Arabidopsis thaliana: one gene and its partners. The protein of the gene in region 2 interacts with the protein of the main gene of each other region in a pairwise test. Each region holds a gene or a part of one and is shown on either strand. Other genes may lie near its edges.

What was found. The genes of interacting proteins can lie anywhere in the genome.
Region 1: the proteins of MUB6 (region 2) and UBC28 interact in a two-hybrid assay, tested with the Arabidopsis thaliana proteins (one study listed by BioGRID).
Region 3: the proteins of MUB6 (region 2) and UBC10 interact in a two-hybrid assay, tested with the Arabidopsis thaliana proteins (one study listed by BioGRID).

The regions. Positions count from the first base shown.
Region 1 is NC_003070.9:23,830,373-23,837,378, reverse strand, and holds UBC28 (ubiquitin-conjugating enzyme 28), read right to left. Parts: upstream 3,829-7,006; 5' UTR 3,708-3,828; intron 3,630-3,707; 5' UTR 3,588-3,629; coding exon 3,518-3,587; intron 2,903-3,517; coding exon 2,777-2,902; intron 2,688-2,776; coding exon 2,560-2,687; intron 2,494-2,559; coding exon 2,389-2,493; intron 2,303-2,388; coding exon 2,159-2,302; 3' UTR 1,843-2,158; downstream 1-1,842. Other genes in the region: AT1G64235 (Bifunctional inhibitor/lipid-transfer protein/seed storage 2S albumin superfamily protein), read right to left, coding at 759-1,130; TOM7-2 (translocase of outer membrane 7 kDa subunit 2), read left to right, coding at 4,058-4,291; AT1G64210 (Leucine-rich repeat protein kinase family protein), read right to left, coding at 4,516-5,102, 5,170-6,346. UniProt on the Arabidopsis thaliana protein: Accepts the ubiquitin from the E1 complex and catalyzes its covalent attachment to other proteins.
Region 2 is NC_003070.9:7,768,860-7,775,173, forward strand, and holds MUB6 (membrane-anchored ubiquitin-fold protein 6 precursor), read left to right. Parts: upstream 1-2,799; 5' UTR 2,800-3,037; coding exon 3,038-3,170; intron 3,171-3,273; exon of another isoform or gene 3,274-3,625; coding exon 3,626-3,796; intron 3,797-3,928; coding exon 3,929-3,984; 3' UTR 3,985-4,295; downstream 4,296-6,314. Other genes in the region: AT1G22040 (Galactose oxidase/kelch repeat superfamily protein), read left to right, coding at 1-938; AT1G22060 (sporulation-specific protein), read right to left, coding at 4,514-4,790, 4,884-5,026, 5,108-5,209, 5,382-5,537, 5,845-6,314. UniProt on the Arabidopsis thaliana protein: May serve as docking site to facilitate the association of other proteins to the plasma membrane.
Region 3 is NC_003076.8:21,630,179-21,637,627, forward strand, and holds UBC10 (ubiquitin-conjugating enzyme 10), read right to left. Parts: upstream 4,070-7,449; 5' UTR 3,921-4,069; intron 3,849-3,920; exon of another isoform or gene 3,822-3,848; 5' UTR 3,812-3,821; coding exon 3,742-3,811; intron 3,385-3,741; coding exon 3,257-3,384; intron 3,141-3,256; coding exon 3,036-3,140; coding exon of another isoform or gene 3,009-3,035; exon of another isoform or gene 2,768-3,008; coding exon 2,624-2,767; 3' UTR 2,389-2,623; exon of another isoform or gene 2,270-2,388; intron 1,869-2,269; 3' UTR 1,843-1,868; downstream 1-1,842. Other genes in the region: AT5G53310 (myosin heavy chain-like protein), read left to right, coding at 4,479-4,701, 4,914-5,232, 5,737-5,795, 5,885-5,916; AT5G53320 (Leucine-rich repeat protein kinase family protein), read right to left, coding at 6,275-6,900, 6,980-7,449. UniProt on the Arabidopsis thaliana protein: Accepts the ubiquitin from the E1 complex and catalyzes its covalent attachment to other proteins. Mediates the selective degradation of short-lived and abnormal proteins.

The sequences.
Region 1 (7,006 bases), about 16 Mb from region 2:
AATACAAAGCAAAATAAAAAATTCAGGGGATAAAACCCTAACATGCAAACCCTAAAAATTATAAAGAACCCCGAAAGATGAAAAATCAATTTTGATCTCTAAAACAACAACAACAAGGCACCGGAGCTGATAAATCCAGCAAAAAATTGTTTTAAAAAACCCTAGAAAACAAAACACAACAGTATAGTCGTCTAAGTTATAGATGTTTACATACCTGAGAAGGTAAAGGAGTATTAGGAAGTTTGGATTTTCAGAAATGGAAGTAATTTGAGTTGCATTAAGGAATTTCCCGGCGATGTCGTCACGACTGAGGAAGACAACTACACTCTCACTCTCGCACAGCTTTGCAGAATAAGAAATAAAGAGTTCGGAAACATCAAAGTGTTGGGTCGAAAATAGAAAGCCCACTAATAAAATTGCCTGACTTTTGACTACGAGAGAGATGATCTAACGGGAGATCCAACGGTTATCAACGAGACAAGTCACTCTGGGGATGAAAATTAAGAGAGTCAACATTGTTCTTTTTTTTTTTTTTTGGTAAAAAGTAAAAACATTGTTCTTTTTATCCCACATTTTTATCATATTATTACGTTTATGAATGTTAGCATGGACAATCCAAACTTTTGTATCTATAAGAGTTCATGATTTAATATGAAATCATTGATTCTTACAAGCAAGGAATATGGGAAAGGTGGAGAAAATTTCCCTAAATTGTAAACTATCTATAATAGGGTTAATATAAAAAAAGAGTCAAAGACTCAACGTATCTTTGGTGTGGTGTCTCGAAGTACTGGGGGGTTGCTTGTTCGCATCGCATTGTTGTTATTTCCACATTTTAGGTTATGAATACCACAAGACTTGAGACGAGAGCTGAGGACATTGGTCTTGATCTTACTGGTTTTAGTTACATCACAAAGACATGGTTGTTGCTCTTTCAAAAATTTACAACATTCGGTCGATATCTTTAATCCACTATTAACAACGTCCAAGCAAGTCTGAATCCTACTTTCTTCACATGATTCTCTGTCCCTCTTGGATCTACTTCCGCCTGCACCGATAGCTTTTGTTGGAAGCGGTAATGATGCCAAGAGAATGACGAATGTAATAAGCAACAATCCGACGGTCTTCATGCATGTATATATAGTTGTTTCTTTTAGATATACCTATAGCAAATATTTTGGATTCCTTTTGTTTTCTGTGCAAAACATGAGAATTTGTTTAGGTATTTCTTGGATAATGAAGGATTCCAATTGCATGGTATTGCGTAATGAACGCGTTTTTCCTTGTTAATCAACATGAACGTAATTAGTTGCTATGTAAATAACTAAATATAGCCTAAATGATTGGCTAAATCACTACATGAATTATTTTCAGTATTTAGAATATTTCATTGGTTAATAATAATACACCATGATTTACAGATTTTACATTCAAATCATCATAAATTAAATGAAAATTCAGATTGAATGAAAAGTTGGATGATCTAGCTAACCAATAAATCTACAGTTTATTGTTTCGTAATAATATGCCTTTTGATTTCGCTTTCCATTTCATAATGAGGTAACTTAATTCAATGGTAGATAAAGTGTACCTTTATTCTTTGATTTGAGGTATTTTTAAATTAATGCACATATGGAATCATTGATCCCTTACAAGCAAGGGAAATGATAAAGGTGGAGAAAATTTTCTGTAGGGTAAATTTATCACTTTGCATTTCATACAAGGGTAAATTTCGAATTAATATGTTAATCAACATCTTCAAAATCATGCAATTTTTATTTTATTTTTCTGCAAAAATGGTTTTATTTCAATATTTTCTCAAACACGGAATTTTGAAAATTTGGTAGCAAATGTCAAATGTTCCCATTTAATCATCGTCATACTTTGTTAGGTAAAAGCTCAAAGTTTCCAGCTTTACATAAATAATTTTTCTTATAATTTTTTGGAAAAAGCATAGAAACAAAGATAGGGAACATATGGATAATAAAGAGGTGAAGTAATGTTTTTGTTTGAGATTAAAGAGGTTTCAAACAAAGAGATGATAAAACATAGGAATCTAACTTATTTCATGGAAGATCCCTATGTGAAGAAGTCCTCTCTCTTTCTCTCTCTCTCTCTATTAAAACCGAGTCTGTGAGGGATCAAAGGACACAAACTTTCATCCCATTGCATATTTCTGAGTCCAGCTTCTCGCAGTAGACTCATACTTTGCTCTATCGGTTTTGTACATGTGAGCAATCTCTGGAACCAATGGATCATCTGGGTTTGGGTCCGTTAACAATGAACATATCGAAAGCAAAACCTATAAATTCACAAGAGATTTGATTAAAATAAGAGGAGATTCATTATATATCATCCACTGCTATTGGTTAAAGAGTGCTTTTTCACCTTCGATATGGTGAGTGCAGGACTCCATTGTTCTTTCAAAATGTCAAGGCAAATGCTTCCATTGCTGTTGACATTAGGGTGGAACACTTTTGTCCTGAATGCAACCTGCAAGAAAAAGAGCATTTTGAATTCCAGTTCATGATTTCAGTTTGGTAACAATGAATAATTTACCTTTGGTGGTTTGAAAGGATAATCCGGAGGGAAGTGAATGGTTACGAGAAAGACACCGCCTGAATAAGGACTATCAGATGGACCCATTATTGTAGCTTGCCAATGAAACATGTCTTCAGCAACTGGGCCTTGAAGATTTCACAATTGTTCATAGAAGGAAAAAATAGAAAGATTAGTCTTTTAAACATGATGATCTATGGCATTTACTGAAATACACACAACAAAACATGTGCCATAGCAATGTCCTGAGACTTCTCTAGCAGAAGAATGCATGAACAGTTTGAGAATCTCCGACAACAATCCTCTAACTCTATTAAGACCAACAATTTCGACGCATTATCCACTTATCATATATTTTAATAAACAAAACAAACATGTATAAACCTGAATGCAATAGATAACTAAGAAAGACTATCAGTGCGAGGTATCAAGTCTGTAAGATCCGTTATGGATACTTGGATAAACAAGGCAGCATACAACACCAAAAGCTTAATTCTAAGAAAATTCACAACTTTCAATAGCTATTTCCTAGACTATGATCATAAGATAACTGCAACGACCAATCTCAACTTTGTTCTAAGAAAAATCTCAACTTCCAACTGTTATCTTATTAATTATGATCAATAGTATCCAGGATGGGTAAATGGATCCCAATTTTTAACAGCTATCTTCTAGACTATGATTATTAGAAAGCTGTAATTTTCAATCAAGGATCAGTACAGCCATAAATTTGTTCTGTTCTAAGAAAAATCTCAACTTTCAATTGGTATCTTCTAAACTAAGATCATAACTTAGCGGCAATTACCACCTCAAGATCTCTAGATAACTTCGTTATAAAATTACGAAGACTAAAAAAGATTTCATTTTTTTGTTTGCTTAAAGATAAGATTATAAGATCTAACAACAAAGCTCAAAAATAGATCAGACACGATTTACGAGAGGAGAGGTAAAGACTAACCAGCACTGCAGGAAGTTGGAGGATCCTTCTGGAGATCCTTGAGCTCTTTCAAGATCCTTTTCGAAGCCATTTCTCAACCAAAAAAAAACTCCTAGATCCAAAAAACCAAACCCTAGATAGATTCAGCAACGCAACAAACAAAGGAAAAGCAAAGGTTGAAAATTTCCGATAAAGGATTGAGCTTTTTTACCTCAAGACAGATCCTCCAAACTCGGTTTTGACGATTCACTTCCTGCAGATGATTTTTGAGAAAGAGACAGAGAGAGCCTTTGAGACCTAACGAATAAACAAAGAGAGAGAAATTTTATTTATGTATGCTTCAAATATAAATAATGACAGCTATTTTCCAGCGAGCCAGAGAATCATTATTGGATAAACATACTTTTAATAAAAAATAAAGGACCCTCTGAGTTAGACAGAGTGTTTCATAGAGGCTTTAAAAAGGTGCTTAAACCCTTTAGGGTTTTTGTCTTCCAGCTAAATCGACTCTGACACAGAGATAAGCAGAGAGAGAGAGAGAGAGTTCTGAGATCAGAATCAATGGCGGCTAAAAGTACGTTGAAGATCAAAGGCAAAGCAAAACCATCAAAGGGATCATCATCATCTTCGTCCTCCTCTGCATCATCAAAGTACAAGGTCTTCAAGGATTGGACCAACTGGTCATTACAGAAAGCCAAAGTCGCGACTCACTATGGTTTCATCCCTCTGATCATCATCATCGGCATGAACTCAGATCCTAAACCTCATCTTTTTCACCTCCTCTCTCCCGTTTAATCCACAAATTGGATCTTCTTCGTAATGTTCTTCTTAGATGCTTTTACTTTTTTTCCCAAATTTGTTCTGTTTTCTTCGTTTTATGAAATGGATTTATATTTGTTTCTGATTCTATAATTCAAAGTCTCATTCTTTTTTGCATGATTCAAATTCAATAAAATCAAATGATCTATGAAGAAACAAAGAATTTGCTTTAATGGTTACTACTACTAGTTTGTGTTGTCTCACTCTGCATCAACTGATCGAATATCTTCAATCAATTTCAAAACTTGAGCTATATGAGGTCTTTCTTGTTGCTTCAGAGCAACACAAGCCAATCCTATTTGCAACATCTCAACCATCTCCTCCTCGAAACCACCTGATTGACTCAATATCTCCATATCAAACACTTCTCCAGTCCACTCTTTAGCCACCACAGATCTTATCCAGCTAGCTAAGTCCATGTTCTCACCTCCTGTTGGTACTAATTCTGCTTGACTCACTGGTGATTTCCCTGTCAAGAGCTCCAGTAATACCACACCGAAGCTGTATACATCCGAAAACTGTGTGCTTCTTCTTGTGTCTGTTATTTCAGGTGCATGGTAGCCAGAAGTAAGGCAAGTGGTTTGAGGAAGTGATCTCATGATTGTCGTCAAGCCAACATCGCCTATGCAGCCATAGCATTGTGAGTCTAAGAAGATGTTTGAGGATTTGATGTTTCCATGTATGAACTTCCCTTCGTGGATTTTAGCTAGCCCTCTCGCTGCACCGGTTGCTATTCGCAGTCTAGCATCCCAATCTAACGGTACTCGATGATACCTTCCTCTGTTTCCTGCAAAGAAAATGGAACCTTGTAGTTTCGATTTATCATCAGAATGAGAGCAATGAAAATAACTAACCGTGCAGTATTTCGAAGAGGCTTCCATGATTGTAATAGCTATAAACCGCGAGCTTATCGTCTTTGGAGTAGTAGTAAGCCTTTAGCTCAGCTACATTTTCATGTCTGATCATACCAATGATCTCCATTTGTTGCTCAAACTCTCGTCTTCCAACGACAACTTCCTTCAATCGTTTTACAACGACCGTGCTCATGTCCTCCATTGTTACCTTATAGGTTGTACCAAAAGCACCCTTCCCCAAAACTTCTGCAGATGAGCTTAGCAAATCATCTAAATCAAATAAGTGGTTTCTTCCACCAAAGAAGATGATCTTCCCGCCTTCTTCAGTGTTATCATCTCTAGATGTCCAGTTTCCTGGAGGAGAAGACGAGTCTCTCTTTCGCAACTTCCCGGAGATTCTAGTCTTCCCGAAACAAGTGATCATTATGAATGATAATCCGGAAACACACAAAACGCAAGCTGCAGACAGAATCAGCAAGAAAGCAAGTTGGCTTAACCCGAAAGGAGTCTTGCGTTGTTTCTTCCTCTCGGTAAGGTTGTTGCCAGAAAAAGCTGAACTTTGGAATCTTTGAAGAGACTTTGGTATTGTACCGATGAGCTTGTTGTTGGACAAGTTGATCTGACTCAGTTTTGGAAGATGAAGATTTGGAATTTCCCCTGAGAATGAATTGTTTGCAAGATTCAAGACTTGAAGGCTAGTCAATCCTGAAAGAGAGGTTGGGATGCTTCCGTTGAATCCATTGTTAGACAGATCAAGAACCTTAAGATTCTTCAACTCCGAGAAGATAGCTAGTAGTGGACCTGAGAGGTGGTTATGTTGTAGGTAGAGATGAGTCAAGCTCTTGAGATTTGTGAAATCAGAAGGGAAGTCTCCGGTGAAATGGTTCTTTCTAAGGCTTAGAAACTTGAGAGAAGAGAGACGACTGATGGTGAAAGGAGGAATCAAACCGTTGAATCCAACCGCAGGCAATCTAACGGATACAATTCGATCTCCGTTTTCGTTGCAGGTAACACCGGTCCAGCTATGACAAACGTCTGAGCTCTGGTTCCAATGGAGACGAGAAGAATTGAAACTAGACAAGAAATGAAGCAAAGCTTTCTTGTCGTCTTCAAGAGTCTGAGAGGAAATCAGAACAAAACAGAGAATCAAAGAGAAGAAGAACAAGAAGATTTGCATTGTGAAGAAACTAGTTTTTGTCTCTAACTGTAAAACAGAGAAATTTTCTTTAGCAGAAGAATTTGTTTCTGATTAAAAAAATAGATAAAAGAGTGATTAGAAAGATACGCCGGCAGGTTTTAGCCGGCAAAAAAGTCTTCTCTTATATAAGCTGAGAAAACTAAAAAAACCTTGGAGCCATTAAAACCATTGAGACCGTTTCTCTGAGTTTTGATCGTTGGGTGTATTTAATTCTTGCTTCAAGAAAATTCATACCAAACGGCTAATTTCTCTTAACTCTATTCCTAAAGCCTGTAACGTAAGCGCGGTAAAATTCAGAGGCTTGGCATACAATTATCAACAAACAAAAAGAGCTGAAATGTTCTCTTTTTTTTTTTTTTTTTTTTTTTTTTTTGATCACCAAGAGCTGAAATGTTCTGTTTTGTGGTATTTTAAGATAATGTCTTCTTCATTTGTGCCTACCAAAAAACAAAAAGTCTTCTTCATTTGTATCATATATGCGTACGTTTGTTAATCAATGTATTATTTAATAGAAACATGATTGTCTTAAGTAATTTTAGAAATTCATTTTATTTTGTATCATTGTTTGTCTCTCAGATTCATGTAATTGGTTAGGACTTTTTTTTTCTTTGATTGTTGGCTAACAAATGGATAGAGCTT
Region 2 (6,314 bases):
ACTCCTCTGAGCAAATGCCGTTTTGTGGGTGCGCTATTGGTGCTGTTGATGGGGGTCTTTATGTTATTGGTGGACTTTCTAGGTCTAAAACAGTGAGCTGTGTTTGGCGGTTTGATCCGATTTTGAACTCTTGGAGTGAAGTTAGTTCTATGTTGGCGAGTCGGGCTTATTCCAAAACAGGTGTATTGAATAAGAAACTATATGTTGTTGGAGGGGTTGATCGGGGACGGGGAGGTTTATCTCCTCTTCAGTCAGCTGAGGTTTATGATCCAAGCACGGATGCTTGGTCAGAGGTTCCGAGCATGCCTTTCTCAAAGGCGCAAGTGTTGCCAAATGCGTTTTTGGCTGACTTACTAAAGCCTATTGCCACAGGAATGACTTGCTACAACGGTAGGTTATGTGTTCCTCAGAGTTTATACTCTTGGCCTTTCTTTGTTGATGTTGGAGGAGAGGTTTATGATCCCGAGACAAATCTCTGGGTTGAAATGCCGTCTGGTATGGGTGAAGGTTGGCCTGCGAGGCAAGCAGGTACAAAACTGAGTGTTGTGGTGGATGGTGAGTTATACGCTTTTGATCCTTCTTCTTCGATGGAGAACGGAAAGATTAAAGTGTATGATCAAAAGGAAGATACTTGGAAGGTTGTTATTGGGGAAGTCCCTGTGTATGACTTAACAGATTCAGAATCTCCTTATTTGCTTGCTGGGTTTCATGGCAAGCTTCATTTCATTACTAGAGACCCTAATCATAACGTTACAGTCTTACGAGCTGATGTCCCCAACATCCCAGTCTCCTCATCATCATCTAGCTCCAGTTCTGTTTCAATCCCACACTTAAAGACCAATGCACCTAACAAGTCAGACACTGTTACATGGAAACTCATTGCAACCAAGGACTTTGGTGCTGCTGAACTTGTTAGCTGCCAAGTTATAGATATATAAAGTCATCAGAAGCTTTGCCCATTTCTCGTGGGCCATTAAGAATCTCTGTGTACAGCCAGAAGCAAAAACATGAAGCTTATGAGATGTTCTCCCAAAGATTTTATCGTCTAATTCTTCGATGATATATTCTTCTGGCATTTGGCTGCCAAAGTAAGCTTGAGTAATAAAATGTTGTGTGACAAATATATAATAATGCGACTGTTGTATCGAAATTTTTGACATGCGCAAATATACTATAGCAGTACATTACCTAGCAGTACAATTGCAGAAGTTCTGAATATGTAACATCAGTATGCTTCTGCATACATATTTCTGTAGTTGGTAATAGAGAAACTTGTAAAAGAAATAAAGTTTCAGGTAAAATTTGCAACTTATGGTGTGTATGTGATTCAGGCAATTAAAACAGTCTAACACAAAAAGGTATTGAAACTTCCTCCTTTTTTGGTTAATCCATCTCAACCAGGGATCACATTTCTTGAATTGAATCTAAACCGGAAATATTCGGTTCGGTTTAGAATCTCTCTTCCTTGCACTGAATTATGTAGCTCTCTTGATTAGTTTCTTGCTTCGACTACAATGGTGGACCTAAAGAAAGTAAGAAGACAAGAATGATATGTATAATTGATGCCTTAAGAATTTAGAACGAATCATATGCTCATAAAGCAAACCGTTTCTAGATTCTCATTTCACACTTCACCTCTTTTCTTTTTATCTTCTTTGATTTTTATATGAAAGTTGTTGCTTTTGATTTATTTCAACGAATCTATTCTATGATTAATTTTTGACATTTGTTTTAGTACTTTAATCTGATGTGAAGGAAATAGTCTTCTTTTCATGAATATCAAAGTATCACTAGCCTGTTAATTATTCCATCCAAAGGGTGTATCGGTTCTTTTTGTGGCATGCACGAACGAATTTTTCTTCATAATAATATTTGGTTGGTGTTTAGGAGGAAATTTTTTATGGTTGAACTTGAACATTTGAATTTCAACCATTTGGAACCAAACTAATTCTCATTTTAAATGATTTCCACTTGAACAAAAACCGATTATATCTATTTTTTTTTCTTCGAATGTTTTACTTGTAAGTTGGTGTATACAATTAGATTCATTACTTGAAAGTGAAGGAATTTTAGTTATACCTCGGTAACATTTTTTCTTTCGAACCAAATCGAATCCAAATGTTAAAGCATTAATTAGACCAAAATTTCAATTATTTCATTTAATTACCAATCAAGATTACTCACTAGATTGTTCCTCATGTCTTAAAACCCCACGGAAAATAATCGATTTGTGTAATTAAACACAATCTTTAATTAGTTAAAGTAGTTAGGCTTATATAGTTGGTGGCTGCCATTTTCTAACACATTCGAAATTACAATATGTTTCTTTGTGTGTTTATGCTAATCCTAAATTCCAGAAATGCCCCTCTTACCATATAATTTTGGCATATATGCCAACATATTAAAACAAGAATCCTATAAAATAATAGAGGAATCCAAAACACAAGAAATAAATTTCTTTAATTAAAAGAAATTAATGGTTGTTAAAGAGTTCAATATCAAAAGGGAAAGTATCAATACCCACTTAATAGGAATCAAAATTATTGAAATCCACTTGTTCAATATTGATATTGTACAACATGGCCAGAGTTTTTGACTAATACAATATCACTATCGAACAATCTAAAGTTAATTCACAAGTCTATATTTTTGATTAGTAAGTCACTAAATAATCAAAAGTCAGCTTTATTGATGATATTGTGTAGGGGTAAAAACGTCAAATTGAGGATTCAGGTAGGATTACGAAAATAAAAAAGAATCTGAAAGTTTCCCAATTTGTGTTATGTCTGCTCAAAGACAGCCTTTGTAACCAAAACCAAAGTGTCTCTCTTTTCTTCTTCCTAAATTTCTTTCCACGAGAATTGATTTGGGTTTGTGTTGTTTTTTTCTTTCTTTTTTGGGTTTTTGTAATTGGGTTGGTGAATAATCCTGCAAAAGTGTTCGATGATTTTCTCCAGAGAAGAATTTTGAAGTTTCTCTTTTTAGAGATTTTTTTTGTTGTTGGGGTTTTTTGTTTTCTGGGGGAAATTGAAAAGAGATGGCAGGTGAAGAAGATTGGATAGAACTAAAGTTTAGACTAGCAGATGGTACAGACATAGGTCCAAGCAAGTATAATCAATCTATGACTGTTTCTTCTCTTAAAGAGAAACTCATTTCTCAATGGCCTAAAGGTATTTTATACTTATAGTTATGCTTTTGCTTCTTTCTACAGCTTTTCACGGTTTTGATGGTTGAGTCTCATTTGATTCATTGCTTCATGTATTTCTTTTTACTCTCCATTGGGTTTGATTGTATTAAATTTGTCTTCTTTCTGCAATGATTTGAATGTATGATGAACTTTTTTGGGCTAGTCTAGGTGTTGAACTTTGTAAAGTATGAGGCTTTAATAGATAATTATAGTTTTATAGTGTGAAAGGTTTAGTTGTTGTTGTGTTAAGATCACTCTAGTTACTGATTTTGGCTAAAACTAGTATAAGATTGATGTCTCAAATTGTATTGTTTTTGCCTGGATTTTTTTGGTTTAGGTGTTTGGTGTTTCTTGGCCTTATTGAATCTTATGTTGCATTTACTTTCTCTACTTAAGGTTGTTTTATAATTGCATTTTCAATGTTTCTCTGTTTCACAGATAAAGAAAATACTCCAAAAACTGTAAATGATATGAAGCTCATCAATGCCGGGAAAATACTGGAGAACAATAGGACACTTGCTGAATCCAGGCTTCCTGTTTGTGAACTTCCTGGAATGATCATTACTATGCATATTGTTCTTCGCCTTCCTACGTTAGACAAAAAGAGCGGTAATTTTCTCTACCTTGTTATACTGTTTATCGCAGTGTAACAACATGTTCCCTTGAATTCTGTACTCGTTAACTATGGCTTTGAGATCATGTTCATATCATCTCATTATATGAAAATTTTCTGTTCCACAGAAAAACTGCAGAATGATCCACCGATGAAGAATCGCTGCGTGTGCACCATTTTGTAGCTGCAAGTAAATTGGATCATAGAGATTTATATCCGTCATGATCATGGCACTAGATGATGCTCCACGGAACAACTTCCATGGCATCAAACAAGCTTTGAGAAGTTCCTTCAGTACAGAATGATTGGCATAGGCATGAAAACAAAAGATCTTCATTACAGAATTTGGTTCCATGTGTGTGGTTTTTAATTATTATTTTTTAAAAATCAAAATGGCTTGAGAAAATGTACTATGATTCTTGAAGGTTGGTTCTTTTATAAATATATACAATATGTTCAATACAACAGTAAATAACAAGAATGGTATTGTCCTTATGTATGTTCTTATTCTCAACTAAACTTCTCATTTTTTGAATTAAAGAATATGGGGTTTCTATACAACACAGAGAACACATCACTTTAAAAACCCCATATCTTGAGACTCGAATAAACAACAATTATATTAAGCTATCTATAACTCGAGACCACTCTTGGAACTTGGACTTCTTCAACATTCTTGGAACTTTATATACATGGTAAGTAACATCTGTGCATTAATGTTCACCAAGAGTTGCTGATGATGAACGGTTCAAGAGCATAGCCTTCTTTGATGCCCTAACGTTCTTCAGAGTCATCATCAGCTTTTGTCTCTCTCCTTCAACCTCTGCAAACTTGAGGCTTAGCTGAGAATAACGGTCATGCATTTCCCTAAGCTCTGTCTCCATAGACGAATACCGGCCTTTGGTATCCAACATTTCTTCAATTAGATTGTTTATGTCTCTGAAACTCTGGAAGATTGCTTCGTCATCGGTGTGTTGCTTCAAGAAAGAGCTGCAATTTCAGGCAAAAAGGAATAATAAGTTCAACGTGGTCTAGTATAGTTACAAAGGCGAAAATTAATAGCAGAATTTTTGAATCGTGTACCTCTGGAAATGGGTGGTTGATTTTTTCTTTCCACGCAATGCTTCAGCGAGTTCTATTTCCAGTGCAAGAACCCTTTCCAATGCGTTTCCGCAACTGAAATTCTCTTGAGATAGAGGGAAGATACTCTGAAGTTCTTCCTTTGCCTGTCGAAAACAAGATCATAAGACTTCTACAGACACTTATGCTTCAATTCATTACAATCTCTAAAAGGTAAACATCAGCACCTGACGCAACTGCATCAGCTCCTGTTCCAAACCCGGAAATCTGGTGTCTGAATCATTATCATCTTGAGGTTCAAGTAGATTCTCATTCTTCATCCGTTCTAGCTGTAAAGAAGACAGAAAAAAGACCCAATGACGCTAGGCAAAATCTTTCTGTAGATAATTACCATCATGTAGATATTGTAATTCAGAATTGCCATCCAATCCAAACTAAGTCACTGATATTAACATTTCCAATTAATTTAACTAGTAATTTTAACCCTTAATCCAGTATTACCTCATCGTTTAGGTGATCCATGCTAGACCTTAAAGTCTCTGCCCTGAATTTATCATTGATCAAAGCTAGGCTTTCTTCACGTTTGTCCAGCGCCATTGCTTCTCCGGAAGGTAATTGGTCTCTGTTTCCATTTACACTGCTCGATTGAATAGTACCCTGATGAACATACATTAAAATAAGAAATTCCTTATAGCACCTTTTTTTACCCGTCGAGCACAGGAAATAACATCCTTAATATCTAACTAGAGAACTATTTACAGAAAACATCGACATACGTAGTAGCCTAGTCATTACCAGCTTGATTAAATCACGTAAACTAGTTTTGCATAACATTTCATAAAGAAGATGCAGCAGAAGTTTAGGGTTGGAACAGAACTCGTTTTAACTTCTATGATACCATGAACTTGAATATTCTTAACTTCCAAATAAATGCTAATGCAAACGCAATCTAACTGAGGGTTACCTGAATTATCGACCTGGGACTGATGATCCGCACTGTAGGATCAATACAAGCAACTTCCCTTTGCCCGTTGTTCACCGAGTCGCCTGAAGAGACTGCAATTGTATTTTTGTCAGCCAACTCTGACACCTCACTATTTAATCTATCATTTTCTTCCATCTCAATATTTTTCTGAGAGCTGCAACGTTGTACTAATCCTCTCCTTGATTCTAGCTCTTTGGACATTTTCAAACTCTGCTCTTTGCATTGTTGCAGAATAGCTTCAAGCTTCTGTTTTTCTTCTTTGCAGCACTCAAGGCTTAATAATGAGCAATCCAGCTCTGCCTTCATCATGTCATAAGCCGTGGTTTTCTCACGTTTATCATAGATAACAGATTGTCGATCAGCCTCCAGTTCCAATATTTTTCCCTCCAGCTCTTTAGATCTCTTTAATTGGCTGGATTCTGCCTTTTTCCTTGCTTCATTCTCATCAA
Region 3 (7,449 bases), on a different chromosome or scaffold from region 2:
TAACAATCAATATATGAGTACGAGATATTAACAAGTTGTTTTATTTCTGTTAAGTGATATTGCGCGAAACTGAAAACGGAATGGTGAGTATTATTTTATAATAGTGCAACATAGGTATTAGTTAATAGTTATTAACTAGTGGCAAATGAAGAATTATTAAGTATAAGACAAAATTATTCAATGCAACTGCAATGAAACCCCGAGGGAAAGAAAGACCCTGTGTGGTTCTGCTATTTCCATGTGGCTGCTAGTGGTCCATCATACGTCAACTATACTTAGCAAGAAAAATTAAAAATCAAGGTTAAAATGGAAATTGAAGTAGTTTCGATTGTTTTATATTAATGTTTTGAGATAGTGCTTGAGTAGTGGAAACAATAAAACCATTAGGAATAACCGAACAGACCTCGAAAGAAGCCTCGGTAAGCCCAAATCTCGTATTGGTGTTTCAAGAAAATAACGTAAAATCACAAGTTTTTACAAACAAGCAAATCACAAAACTTTTATAAATTCAAAAGCTTACAATAACAAAAAGAAAAAAACAAGCAAATTACAAAGCTTACAAGAACTTTAGAAATTTGTTACAAAATTTGTCAAATATTATAAATTTAGTTACAAAATTTTAATCTACAACTTCAAAATCAAAAGAATCCTATTGTCGTTTAAACATCATCGATGTTCACCACTGTCAATTTCACATCCCGGTGTTCTCTAAAACATAAAGAGGAGACATAGGAAATAAAAGAGAAATTAAGTAGTTCAAAGAATAATCGGTTATTAGTTTCTTATAACTCCTAGGAAAAGCTATTCTAAATTTTTTTTAACAAAACATACTCCTTATAATTTTGTTTATTACTGACTTACACAATGACGAATCAATGAGAAACAAATATTTCGATTGTAAAATGTTTTGCTAAATTGTGGAGATATATATATTTGTTTTCTATGAACATATCATTTAATATATAATTTAGTTTATTTCACTAATAAAAAAAATTACAAACTGTAAAATAGTTAAAAACAACATTATATAAAATGAAATTTTACAAAACGAATTTACAATTAAATAGTAAGATGAACCCTCCAAATATCTAATCCTATAATAGAACATAATACATTAACATTATAATTAAATTTGGTTTTGTTAAAGGAGAATTGAATGTCTTACTGCTTACTAGTTTAGGGAAGGAGAAACCGAATAGGGAAATTAATGCAGCCGACATTTTTGACGTCGAATAGTTAATTGGTTGTATTGTCTCTTTAACCGTGCATTGTTACAATTATTAAAGTATTTTAACATTTTGGAATATGGAACACCTATCTTAACTAAACCAAAAAACATGGAACACTGATTTTTATTTTATTTCTTTCAGTCGACACCAATTGTTTGAATTTTGCGTTTGAATGTCTAGAGTTCTTAGCCTACAAGTTTCATGGATATCTAAATCAAACCTATAGTCCCTATGATTTCTTATTTTGTTAAACTTAAAGCAGATGTTTAATTTGGTCTTTTGCTCTTAACTAGAGTAAGTTTTGCCTGTTGGTTATCATTTCTAAGTTCAAACTGATACTCTTCTAATACACTGATCCGTGGGATAATGATAAATTTTGAAAAAAAGATAGTAACATACTGTATTTTCTTATAGAGAAGAGAAATTCAAAAATATTCTAATAGCACAACACTATTAAATGTATTTTTCTCTTACCTGTGGACTTGTAAAGATAATTTGTTAGGGGTGATACTTTAAGCTCGGACGAGCGATGGATCTTTGGTCCATCGAAGCCCATCTACATAACTTGAGTTCAGTCCATACCCATTCATCTATAGATTATCTGTAGTATTAGATTCTATACCACTCTTTTTTTTTTTTCTGTTGATTCTATACCACTCACATTCCACATAATCAGGCTATTTATTATTTTATTAAATACTGTATTGTCAAATAATTTGACTTCACCAAATAACATGTTTTCGTCAAACTCATGATATGATGGATGATACGAATAAGAAAACTGTTATAACTTATAAACAAAATAGGGTGTTTAGTGGTTTTGTACTAGTGAATCATTGCTGAGTTACTACTTGAGTTCAAACATGCATAATACATGTCGTTTAATGGATATAGGATTGTTTGTGATATTATTGCATACTTAAAATGTTTGTTGCATCACGTATGTAGTCCACAATCCACAGGCGCACCTTGCAAGGTACAAAACTCATTTTCTACAACATACGTGCTACAACAGAACGCATTGTCACCATGACGGGCATTGGCCACAACGATTAACTCAGAGTAAATTTGAAGACCAGTTGGATAAGTTTGAAGACCAGTTGGATAAGTTTGAAGACTAGTTTGATAAATTTGAACAACTCGTAGCAACTCATCACACAACGAAAACATCAAATCATAATTTCACCACAAGAAGAAACAACAGAAGATGATCAGATTCTAGTTTTCACAAAGATGATGTTTTTTTTTGTTTCGTTTAAAACAAGACCCACTTCATTTGGTCCTGTCTTCAGAAAGTTAAAAGGACACAAAGAGATGTCTATCGAATCATACATAGAAATTAAGGCAGATTTTTTTCTTCATAAAGAGATAATTTAGTAGGTGGGATTTTCCATTTAGCCCATGGCATACTTCTGAGTCCAGCTTCGTGCAGTGGACTCGTACTTGTTCTTGTCAGTCTTGTACATGTGAGCTATCTCGGGCACCAAAGGATCATCCGGGTTTGGATCGGTTAACAAAGAACAGATCGATAGCAGCACCTGTTAATTGCAAAGCAGTTGTTAGAACTGATCGATAACAAACAACAATTTTTCATCCTCAATGAGTCTAATAAGCTTAATGTTTCAGAGACAACCGAAATGAGTCAAAGTTTAATGAAGACAGCTCAATCTTATCACTTCAACTAGGGATTAAGGAGCAAAAGCATGTTTGATAAGAGTAGATTACTGCCTCTGAAGCAGTTTTAATAGAGAGTATTTGTTTTAAGGTGGGTTTCTATTGTTAACAAAAGAATAAGAGAAACCGAACCTTGGAAATGGTGAGCGCAGGACTCCACTGCTCCTTCAAGATGTCGAGGCAAATGCTACCGTTGCTGTTAATGTTGGGATGGAACACCTTGGTCCTAAAGGCCACCTAGATATCATCACACACACCATAATGAAGAACAATGAGATAATGAAGCAACCATAAAGAACATACGAGCTTTGGCAAAACATACTTGATAACAATTCTCAAAATATTGGAATCACCTTAGGAGGCTTGAATGGGTAATCCGGAGGGAAATGGATGGTTACAAGGAAAACACCTCCAGCATAAGGACTCTCTGAAGGACCCATTATCGTTGCCTGCCAGTGAAACATGTCTTCAGCAACAGGACCTGTACACAGAAAGATAAACTCAATCTCACACCACATAAGCACAAGGAAACAAAGAGACAGTTTTTTCTTCACAAGTATAACCAGACCCCAGAAACTAAGACAATGAAACGAGTTTTAAGCCTTTATAAGATCTTCACCAGAGAAATCAGAAACGAGATAAACCAAATTTAGTTCTAGCCAGATCTTAAAAAGTAAAACGAGTACTTAGCTCGAGATCGGTACCAAACAACACATAAACACACAAATCCAAACAAATCCAAGCATAAGCGAACAAAAAAACCGGATCTATCAACACCAGCTCAGGGAAACAAAACTTTTTAAGATGAAATCTCAAAATCCAAACACGAAACAAGTACCTGCGCTACATGATGTAGGTGGATCCTTCTGGAGATCCTTCAATTCCTTCAAGATCCGCTTCGACGCCATATCCAAAAACCTAAAAATCAAAAATCAAACAAAGATTCTAAACGAATCAGAGAAGCTATAAATCCGTGAGAAATATAAGTAATAGATCCAAAAGCTACAGAGACAATACCTTTGATTTTTCGCGTAATCGGATTGGCGAGGTTTTCGCCTTTTTCTTCTCGTATTAGAGAGAAGAAGAACCAAGACTTAGGGGAAAGGAAGAAAATAGAGATGGTGGTGGACGAAAGACGAAGAATACGAATTATTCTCTGTGCTCACGTCTACAATAAATACCGTGTGGATTATTTACTTTCTTTGACTAGTGGACTCTACTTTTAACCCTCTTATTATTCGGTGGACCTTGAAACGACGCGGCGCTTCTTAATTAAAACATCAAGTTGCATTGAAACGACATCGTCTTAAAAAGTCATCTAATCTAACGGTTGATATCCTATCCTTAAATCAAGTGGTATTGAAATCTAACGGCTGCGAGTTTATTATAAATTTCAAATCAAGTGGCATCGAAACGCGTTGCGATGAAGTCATATAATCTAACGGCTGAGATTTGTATCTTTTAATCGATCGAATCATTTGAAGCCACGTCTTCTCTCTCACTTTGGAGATTTTTCTAACGCAGAATCTGAGAATAAGCTAACCGATTCCGATTTCGAGTTCGTCGCCGGGAGGAATGAACCGGTTGAAGGAGCAAAAGGGGCCGAAGTTCGACGGCGAAGAATCACCTCCACCTGATTTTGATGAAGATCGAAGTGTGGGTGAGGTAGACGGAGGAGATCACACGCCATTCGCTGGAGGTAAAGTCAGAAGGAAAGCGTCTCGCTATAGAGAGCATCGTGGTGACTATCTTCACGTTTCTTCTCGTCCTGGATTGATGCGAATTCTGGAGAAACAAGGTTAGGTTTCTCCAAACTTTTGGTTTTTATTTGATGAATTTGAGATTGAGAGGCAATTTGTGAATCGAAGAACTTGGAGGAATAGTTGAATCAGCTGTAGAATTGTGGCATCGATTTATAGTTTCTTATGTGGTTGTTTGGATTGCTAATGATTGGATTCACCTTGAATTGCATGTGTTTGATGTTGAGAAGGTGATTCATTGTTGTTATAGGTGATACATCGATTCTTTTTGCTGATAAAGTTTTGAAGTTCACCGGCTCGGGGAAGATGAAACGGCGTATTTTTATCCTCACTGATTTTGCGATCTATCTAATTGATCCCGAGACTGAAGCTATGACCAGGAGAATTGCTTTGTCATCAGTAGAGAAGATGTGTTTAAGCAAATTGAGTGATAACTTCTTCGCTATCATTATTCCCACGGAATATGATCTCTTCATGGCCAGCACTAGGAAGACTGAGCTTGTTCAGGTCATGGTAGATGTCACTAAAAGTGCTTCTGACTATGAACTTGAAGTGCTTCTCTCTAACAGGTAACTATGACCGCAATTTTTGGTTTTTGATGTCTCCTCTTTGAATGCTAATACCATGCACATGAGAATTGTTTATTTTCATCTCATTTCCTGATATTGACACTACAGGTATTGTGTTACTGAGAACTGATGTGGGTCTTTTTAGTCTCTGAAACTTAGTGAGCTCTGTTTCTTAAGTGACTTGGCTATTAGTTAGTGGTGAGACCAGAGGATCCACTTGTACCTATTAATCATATCTATATTTATGGAAGAAGATAAAGAATTAACACTTTTAGGAGATAACTACTGAAATTAGTACGTTGAGATACAAATGGTTACAACTATATTTTAAATACTGTTAGATGACATATTCTAGTTTTGATTGAAACTGTTCTCAAATGGCAATCACGATAATAGTCCGTAGAAACATTTTGTATATCTCCCATATCGTAAAACTCAGCTATTGGTTTATATGTGCAGTTTGTGTTTTATACTGATAATGGTTTCTCCTTGTGTTCATTCCAGATTTGAGTACAATGCATCTGCCTCATTAGTAAAGGAAGTTTCTTTTGAGGAATCTGAAGGTTTGTATGAATAAGATTCTGGATATTGTGATTCAATCTAAGTTTGTGGTTAGTTTATTTGCTCATCAAGCTCTACCACTATTTTTCAGGGGGTATCAAGACCAAATTTGTGTGGAAGTGACTACATCTCAACTTTCCTCGCTGTTCATAAACTTTGGAGGGACCACTAGTAAGATCTGTTTCGACTTTCGAATGTCTTTTCTGTTGGTTACTAATAGCTGAAATCATGGTGGTATGTGTTGTTTATTATATTCTGTTTCGACTTTCGAAAATGTGAATGGATTCTTTCATGTAACACAAGACCAGTAGTGTCAATATAAGAAACAAATGGTTACAAGTATATTTCAAATATTGTTAGAAGACAGATTCTAGTTTTGTTGGAAACGGTTCTCAAATGGCAATCACGATAATCGTCTGTAGAAATATTGAAATCTTTTTCTGAATGGTCAATACATTAAGGAAAGATGGAATAGTCTTTCTTATAGTATATACGGAGATCCTGATAGACTTCCAATCGGAGTTGTTGTCGCACCTGTGGAAACCTCTGATCTGTATCCGCTGGCTAGTTTCTCTGGTCTTATCTCTTCCACCATTCTCACTACCTCAATCATGTTTGGTCTCTTCTCTGGTAATCTCGCTGTGCAAACCATACCAACCTGAAGCATCTCCACCATCTCTTCCTCTACTTGGGTACACCTCAAAAGCTCCTCATCAAACACCTCTCCTGTCCATTCTTCTCTAACCACCGAGTTCACCCACCTCACCAGGTTTGCCACTTCTGATTTTCCTGTTAGTACCTCGAATATCAATATCCCGAAACTATACACATCAGACGGTTGAGTCCCTTTTCTTGTGTCTGTTATCTCTGGTGCACGATAGCCAACTGCATGCCGCGGTAATGAATGCATCAGTGTAGCCATTCCTGTTCCAGATATGCAGCCATATCCTTTCCCGTTGAGGAAAATGTTTGAGGATTTTATGTTCCCGTGGACTAGTTTACCTCCGCTTTGTGAGTGGATATGAGCTACTCCTCTTGCTGTTCCATACACCATATTCAGTCTAGTTTCCCATTCTAGACGCTTCCGATCCCTGAGACCTTTCTGACCTGAGTATCGATACACATATAGACCAACTTAGCTATGTAAGATACTGTATAAATTCAAATGGTGGCATTATCAACATACCGTGTAGCAATGTTGAAAGACTTCCATGTTCGTAGTAATCATAAACCACGAGCTTCTCATCCTTAGAGTAGAAATATCCTCTTAAAGTGGCAACATTCTCATGCTTGATGCTGCCAATATTTTCGATTTGCTGCTCGAATTCCCGTTGAGGTACACTCACTTCCTTGATCCTTTTCACAACGATGGTCGCAGAGTCCTCGAGATCAACCTTGTAGGTTGTCCCAAACGGGCCCTTCCCTAAAACTTCTGCAGAAGCTCTCAACAAGTCTTCTAGGTCAAAGACAAGATTCTTCCCTTCGAAGAACACAATCTTGTTATCTCCTTCACCCACGTTTGGATCTGAATCCTTCCTCCTCTTGCTAGGTTTGTCCTTTGAAGATCTTCTTTGCTCTTCTCTATTATGGATGATGATTACCAATAAGATAGCAAGCAGAGCTAGTATCGCAAAACACACGCTTAATGCTATGCCA